Linked DNA regions of Tamandua tetradactyla. The protein of the gene in region 1 binds, or shares a complex with, the protein of each later gene. Links are inferred from orthologs where the notes say so. Each region holds a gene or a part of one and is shown on either strand. Other genes may lie near its edges.

Region 1 (3,745 bases):
CACCACCCCCACCTACTTCCAGGCTGTGCCCCAATCAACGTCCCCTTTTCAGCAAGGCCAGCCTGACCACTCAACTTAACAGCACTGCCCACATCACCAACCCCCTCACTTCAGACCCGCCGCCTCCTGCACGCTCTTCCTTTATACAGCACCAACCCGTTTTCAAACAAGGCACAGTTCAAATGTTCCTTGTCTGTCTCTCCCAGGTAGATGGCATATGCAGGAGGGTTGAGATGTCTCCTTGATTTATTCCCATATCCCCAGGGCCTAGAGCTGGGCCTGGTACCAATTAGGCTGCATGTTGGCTACACTGCTTACATTGAGCACACACGCGTTTTCAGATTATAAAATACATCATTTTAAAAGCAAAACAACAAATTAAAGCAGCATGTCTGTCTATGCTACTTGCCACCGCCTCTTCCTTAGGCTCCATCAGAATAGCCATCCTTTGTCCAAACTCACTCGCACATACAAATGCGTATGTGTGTACATAACCTGCTTCCCGCCCTGCCCCAGCCCTTAGGCTGAGCTCATACAGAAGGTGCTCAATAAATGTTCCATGAAGGCACCGCGCATTATACAAACCCCCAAGAAGAAAGGGACCTGAGAGACCACAGGGCCCTGTACCTTCCCTTCCCTTCAGTTTACCAAAAGGACACAAGTGAGACCCACACAGGAACAGCGAGTAGGCAGGGGGCCCTGAGGACAGTTCTATGTCCCAGGATGGAGCCCGGCATACCCAGGTGGACCCATACAGACACCTTGAGGCCATGGGAAGCCAGCCACAGGGGCAGCCTTGGTGGGAGGCTGGACTCACCATTCCTGAGAGGTACTCCGGGTTGAACTGCCCTGCGTAGCTGGCCACGTTATCCAGCCCAATGGGGGGCATGTTGGGTGGGGGGTAGCCAGCACCCCCCCAGGCACCACCACCTGAAAGCAACACCAGGCCCGTGAGCCCTGTCCCGAGTGGCCCCAAAAGGGAAAAAGCAAAGACACTGAGCTCCCAGGAGGTCAGGAGACAAGGCCCAGCAGAGGGGACAGGGCTGCGTCCCACACCCCACAGAAAAGCCTGACTTGATCCTGCTGCCAAAGCAAGAAGGAGAAACCTGCTCCTCCTTCCAGGGAGGGAAGTGGAGCTCAACGGACACTCCTGAGAACAACCCCCCACCCCCACCCCCACCCCCACCCCCTGCGCAGTCACCCTCCCACAGCGGGCAGGGCGGGCACAGGAGGTGACTGCTCGAGAATCCAGAGGGGACACAGAAGCACAGGGGGTGGGGTGGGTTCCTGCCAGTTCGGCTGTTTGCTAGGACACATTTGGGAGAGGCAGGATGAGAGGATGGAGAGACACCACTGGACCACGGAAAACACACAATATGGGGAGATACCAGGAAAAGCTCTAGCTCTGAACAGACAGGGACAGGGGACTCGGCTTGGGGCCGGCACTGCACCACCATGGGCTCAGGCTCCTCCGCTGACAAATGGGATAATTAGCCTAATTAGCCTCCCTGGAAGAGCTGTGAGGAGGGCTGAGAGCCTGGGGAACGTGCACTGGTTAGATGCAGGGACAAGGCCCCCCAAGGACCTGGTTTTGGCTTCTCAGCTCTTGGGCTCTGGGAAGTTCAGGGCAGTGGATCCTTCCCTGTGTCACCAGCCCACTCCCTCTCTGGCTGCTCAGAGGCTAAGCAGCTGTGCTGACAAATGGCGGCAGCGGTGGGACACAGAGGGCTGGACTCCTACCAGGGTGGGGGCTGAGGCCGTGGGAGCAAATCGGAGGCAGGAGCTCGGGTCAGAGAAATGGCTCAGCTAGACCCCTGCTGGGCTGTGAGCCTGGGGCTGAGCCGCCTCCCTGCTCTGGGCCTGTCCCTTCACCTGTCAGTGGGAGGGCGATCCAAGTGACCCACGGGGCCCATCGTGCTTGGGCCCGAGGACCTCGCCAGGTGCAGCCCGGAGTGAGGGGCTCCCTCTTGTCCCAGGAGCCCCGACATTTCCTTTCTGATTGTGGGGACCAAATCTCACTTTAGGAAAACAGGAGGCAACAGGGCCAGAGAAGACGGCTCCTCAGTGTGGTGGAAAGTGGTGAAGTTAGGGCCATGCCTGGATCCCTGACCAGGTGGGTTCACCTCGGTGCTACCTGTGGCCACAGCTTCTGGGCAGCTGCAGCGAGGAAGGCCTCGTTTCCTCCCGCTGTAGGGGGACTGGGCTGCAAAACCATGCACCTGTCACCTAACAGAGCTTCAGGACGCTTTGCTTGGTGACCTCAGTAACAAGCATCCACGCAGCACAGGGAGGGACCCAGGAAGCCATCTTGCAAAGATGAAAATGGAAGAAGGGGCAGCGTTTGCTCAGTGCCATCAGCTAATAAGGCAAGAGAGTGGGTCGGTCCCTGCCTTTGGAAGCAGATTCAAACCCAGGCCTCTTCAGGCCTTGGGGTCCATGCCCTTTTTCTAGCCCCAGCCCCCCAATTGGTGGTTCCTTCCCCTCCCTATGTGGGTGTGCTGTGGAGGAAGATGGGGAGGGAGGAAACTGCCCCAAAACACTATTATTCCCCAGTCCACCCCAGTCCCTCTTACCTGGTGCAGCTGGGGGGTAGCCGCCTGCGGGCGGGGGATAGCCGGGGTAGCTCATGGGGAGATCTGAAAGAGAAGAGGAAAGCACACTCGGGCTCTGCCCCCACCAGCCACACGCACAGCGCTTGGCTTCTTAGACGCGACAGAAACAAACCACAACCAGGACCCTCTCCTCTGACAGCTCTTTTTCTTCCTGAAGCCCTCCCTCCCTCCCCATCGCAACAGCTCTCCTCCTCCCTGTTTTTTGGGCTGCTGGGTTTTCTGGACAACGCTAGGTCTTACGTGGAGGCCTGCTGAAGTTCTCCCTTAGGTCCATCACCGCGGCCTGCAGGGAGCCTCTCAAGTGCCAGCTGACATCACACGCTTTAGCTCAGCTATGTTCCGATAGCTACCGATCTGGTCCACATGGCATTGTGACTCTTCCAAGTAATGGGTACGAAAAGGGCCCAGGACTGACCCCCGAGCCGTCGTCAGGGGTGAACTGTCACATTTAAGAGGAATTTCCCTAAGAAGCATGTGGTGGCTGAGGGACCGCTGGCCCTCCCCCAGTGGCCGGGCAGTAGGCAGCACAGAGTCCTCTGAGGTCCTGCCCAAGTCCTCAGACCTCACTGGTGAGGAGGTGGCGTGGCGGGTTTGAATGATGGACTAGGAACCTTCTGAAGGCAGAAAGAAGAACTGCTCCAAAGGAGAGCAGGGGGAGCTGCTCCCATGTCCTGACACCTTGCCCTTGGGAGACCCATCACCAGGGACGGCCTTTGGGAATCAAAGCCCATTCCCTACTCCTGGTCTCCTCTTAGAAGAATGACGCCAAACGGCCCCTCCATAGCCAGGTCAGAGTTAAAAGACAAGAACAGCACAGTTGGGTTACTACCCTAATTCCTTACGCCAAAATCAATTTTAGCCAGATTAGATTTAAGTGTAAGAAATGGCTCCAAAGCCCAAGAATATAAAATCAAAGCTCTAAAACACAATATAAAGTTGGAGAAATGACAAAGGTAGAAAAAATGTTTTACAGGCCTTGTTTTAAAATAAAAAGCTCTTTAAAGATGAAATCAAAGATACAAGTGCTGGAGAAAATGTAGAGAGAGGGTTATACCTATTCACCGCTGTTAGGGAAGTAAAACGGTGCAGCCCACCTGGATGGCAGTGCAGTGGCCCCACAGGAGGTTAGGTAT
Region 2 (3,745 bases), on another chromosome or scaffold:
TGATGGGCTAATCTTGTTGCAATATCAAGTTATAAATAAAAGTTACCATGTAGATATGTGCATTCCTGCTGCTAAAATGCACCTATAGCTTTCTTAATGTTCATTTTTACTTTTCTTAAATTTAGAACATCACTGAGAAGAGGCAGCAAGAAGAAATAAGACCAGGACCAACACTGATTGAGTCAAGATTTGAGGTACTGCAATTGATGCTCACTTAACGGAAAATAAAAGATGTCAGATTAGGCGAATGAAGGATGTGACTGTATGAGCAATGACCAACCAAATCCAAATCTGGGGGCACTTTGGAAGACTGTATTGTTTTTAATAGTTTCTTAAATTTGTCACCAGTCTGGTTTACACTTGTTCTGATTAAAAAAATACAGTATTTTTTCTCTAGAAATGCCCCACAATTCTCAATTTTTACTAATCTAGGCTAGTTGTCACTCAAAGCAGTCTAATAAAGTTTGAGGAACAACTAACATTATAGGAGATGTTTCACCATAAACGGAGGCCATGATGGATGACTCAGAATGAGAAACAACCTCACCATACTTCAGCATAATTGTAAAACCAAGTGGTAACAAACCTTTGGGATAGTTGACAACGTAGACAAGATTTCCCCAGCCTGCATCAGGTGCATGCAGAACTCCTTCTACTAGCCGGACACCTCTCATACATTGAGACACTGGATTCCTGTAGCGCAGACCACATGCTCCTGGAAACTGGGCCGTAACTGTGGACAGCAGCACTGTCCCATCATCTTCTGATGGTATTTCAATAGGCTCGTCATTCTCATCTTCGGTTACCCGAATATATTCAGACATCTTTTCTTATTTTTCTTAAAGTGAAAAGAGAGATGAATGACCAACACTCACATGAAGAACACTTTTCTTACAATCAGGTGAAAACTCCTATCACCAGGTTATGGTTCTACAACTTCCACAAAAATTCTTGCTGCTCTGATTCTTACACCTATCGGTTATCACTAAGAGATGAGGCAAGCACAAGGAAAGCAATTTCCTATTAAAATACGATACCGTCCTAGGTTCACTCATTCAGTAAGTAACTACTTTGCATCAGGTGCTGCAACTTTAGGACTATGAAAGCAGTCGATCCCAAGTGGCATGCTTGGTTACAAAGGGGTAGGAATAATCAGCAGAAATACAGTTAACATGTAATTTTGTTGCAATCGAGACATACATATGCTACCGGGAAAAAAAAGTAAATAACTCTGAGAAAGCCGGGGAGAATCAAAGCTGGTTGAGGCGTGTGCATATGTATGCCAAAGAGCACGCATGCCACAATAGGTTTCCTTAAGAAAGTGATGTATAATGCTCAAACTTGAAGACTGAACGAAAAGAAATGAGCTAGGTGAAGAGAGAAAAGTTCCCTTCCCTTCGGTCCCTCGTTTTAGGGCTTCCGTGGACTCTCCAAACTTGTGCCTTAGGAACAGCTACGACCAGTCCTTCGGATCCGCGCTGCCACCTCCCAGAAGCCAGCGCGTGACCGCCGAGGGAGGAGTTTTTAAGCGCGTCCCGGGGTGGAGCCGCAGGGGTACTAGGCCTGGGCTGACAGTGTCCCCCCGAGTGCCAAGTGCCTAAGGGATAAAGCACTGGCCGGGCCAGGAGAAAGGCCAACTCACGGTCCCTACACCCACTCCGCCTCATACTGGATGGCCCCGTGGGCCCAGCATCCCAACACTGGCGCCTGCTGCCGGCCCGCGGCTCCCCCCAACGCCGCTCCCGCGCGAGCCTACTCGGGCAGGACGAGGGAGGCCTGGCCTCATGGCTCCCTTCCCCAGGCGGACTCTGACGCCTCTGCATCTGCCTAGGCCACCCCAATAGGAAAGCAGCGCCATCCAGGGCGTCCTCAGTGGGAAGCGTCCGCAACTCACCCTCCAGGAAGCTGCTAGGAAGCCCGACAGGTAAACCAAAACACCGACGGGCCCGAGAGCAGGCCAGCCACCGCTTCGCTCTCACAAAATGGCGCTAGGGCCGCCTCCTTCCCCCGCCCGTCGCCATCCTCTCCCACCGGATCCCCGCCAACAGGGGGGAGGACCCCGCACAGAAACACAATAACCTCTCTCCGGCTAGTCAGCTTCCCTCTTTGGAGTCTGCGCGTGCTAATAGTACTTTTCGTCTAAAATAACATCACCAGTTGGACTTGAAAAGCTAAAAACTGAAAAAACGTGGGCGCGTAGGCTTTTACCTTCCTCCCACGTAGCGTAGAGGATGGTTTCGCCCAACTAACCGCCAACCCTGGGTCTCGGCTGGAGCTCGCGCAATTTGAAAGAGCGCGAGACTAGCTTAGGGGCAGGGCCAGGAAGAGCGGGGCGGGGCCGGCCCCCGTAGGGCGGGGCCGAGTGGGGGCGGAGGCTGGGGTCGCAGGTTCTCCTTACCTGGGCGACTTGGGAGGTGGGAGAGGACAGGGCCTCCTTTGTTTAAAAAGCCAACTCGGTGCTTACTGTCCTCCCTACTCTAGCCAAACTTCGAACCTGGAAAGAAGAACTTTGTTTCTAAGTAATAAGCCAGATAGTGTCTACTTAGGCCGGGCACTTTCTAAGTACTTACATATTTAACTCACCGAACATTCTTGGCGAATGAGGAAACTGGGGCACAGAGAGGTTAGGTAGTTTGCATAAAGTTACCCGGGTGCCTAAGGCATAGAATGCTGACACTAGCTCTAGCCCACTAATCACAGCTATACTATGTTCCATCTATTTTGGAACACATTTGTTTCACATTTCTGAAATCAGTATAAATTTTAGATGCAGTTACAATTAATAACACGTCATAATGTTTGTGATAGCTCTATTGCTATTATTTAGAAACAAAAGTTCTTTCTAGGTTTGGAGGTTGGCTGAGGGAGGAAGGGGAGGTTAAGCTCAACTGACAACACTTAATTTCTTAGTGTTACATAAAATAAGATCATGTATCAGATTCAGTGCAATGCAGTAATAGCAAAGGTTTACACAGACCATGGTTTAAATGCTTTATGTATTAATTTGTATAATCCTCTCAACAGCCCTTATAAGGAAGGTGCTAATATTATCATTCCTGCTTTGCAGATGAGGAAACCTAGGTACAGAGATTCAATAATTCTGCCCACGTTCATGCTGGTGGGAAATGTTGGGGCCCAGATTTGAACCCAGATAGCAAAGCTCTGAAGTGGGTGCACTCTGCAGCTTCTTGCATCTTACAGTTTCCTAGGGGACAAACAGTAAATCTTACAATTCCATCTCTGATGCCTGCTTTTCATATCAACCAGAGTATTCCTGAACCAATTTGGAAAGACCAGGGAGGGAAAAGAAACAGGAATGGGGTGTAATGAATGACCTTCACTCACCTCCAAGGGACAGAAGTCCCTTTGTAACTGGTACCTGGTTCGCAATGGTGCCACCTGAGCCCCCTTCCAGGTCCCACAGCTAAAAGAATTTAGAGAAGGCAGTAAGAATAAATAGTAAATTTATTAAACAGAAGGAGAGAGTACATATTAGAGAGGTTAATGCAGCCATGCCCAGGGGAGGGGCACTGAGTGGGTGGGGTTTAGCTTGCTTTATAGGATGTCTTGTTGGTAGCAGGTTTCCGTAGTAACCTGTGAGCACCAGGTGTCTTCTTTGTGCAGATTCCCACGGTGGCCTTTGGGCAGGAGGCCTCTTCTCTGTTCTAGGAGGAGAATTCATGGTTTGTTGTCACATACCTAAAATTTATCTTTGAGCATATGGTTAACAATCTTTATGGCCCTG

The links.
Region 2: the proteins of ANXA11 (region 1) and TARDBP are in contact, whole or in part, in a cryo-EM structure (PDB 9FOR), measured with the Homo sapiens proteins. The link is inferred for Tamandua tetradactyla from reciprocal best matches to the Homo sapiens genes ANXA11 and TARDBP. Residues at the interface, in NP_001148.1 of Homo sapiens: Gly56, Met57, Ala59, Met61, Ser62, Gly63, Phe65, Asn69, Pro71, Asn72, Leu73; in NP_031401.1 of Homo sapiens: Ala328, Leu330, Ser332, Trp334, Gly335, Met337, Gly338, Met339, Ala341, Ser342, Gln343.

The regions. Positions count from the first base shown.
Region 1 is NC_135339.1:16,846,372-16,850,116, forward strand, and holds the start of ANXA11 (annexin A11), read right to left. Parts: upstream 2,753-3,745; 5' UTR 2,629-2,752; coding exon 2,574-2,628; intron 931-2,573; coding exon 818-930; intron 1-817. UniProt on the Homo sapiens protein: Binds specifically to calcyclin in a calcium-dependent manner. Required for midbody formation and completion of the terminal phase of cytokinesis.
Region 2 is NC_135328.1:214,374,632-214,378,376, forward strand, and holds the start of TARDBP (TAR DNA-binding protein 43), read right to left. Parts: upstream 2,287-3,745; 5' UTR 2,209-2,286; intron 2,184-2,208; exon of another isoform or gene 1,526-2,183; intron 839-1,525; 5' UTR 825-838; coding exon 587-824; intron 1-586. UniProt on the Homo sapiens protein: RNA-binding protein that is involved in various steps of RNA biogenesis and processing.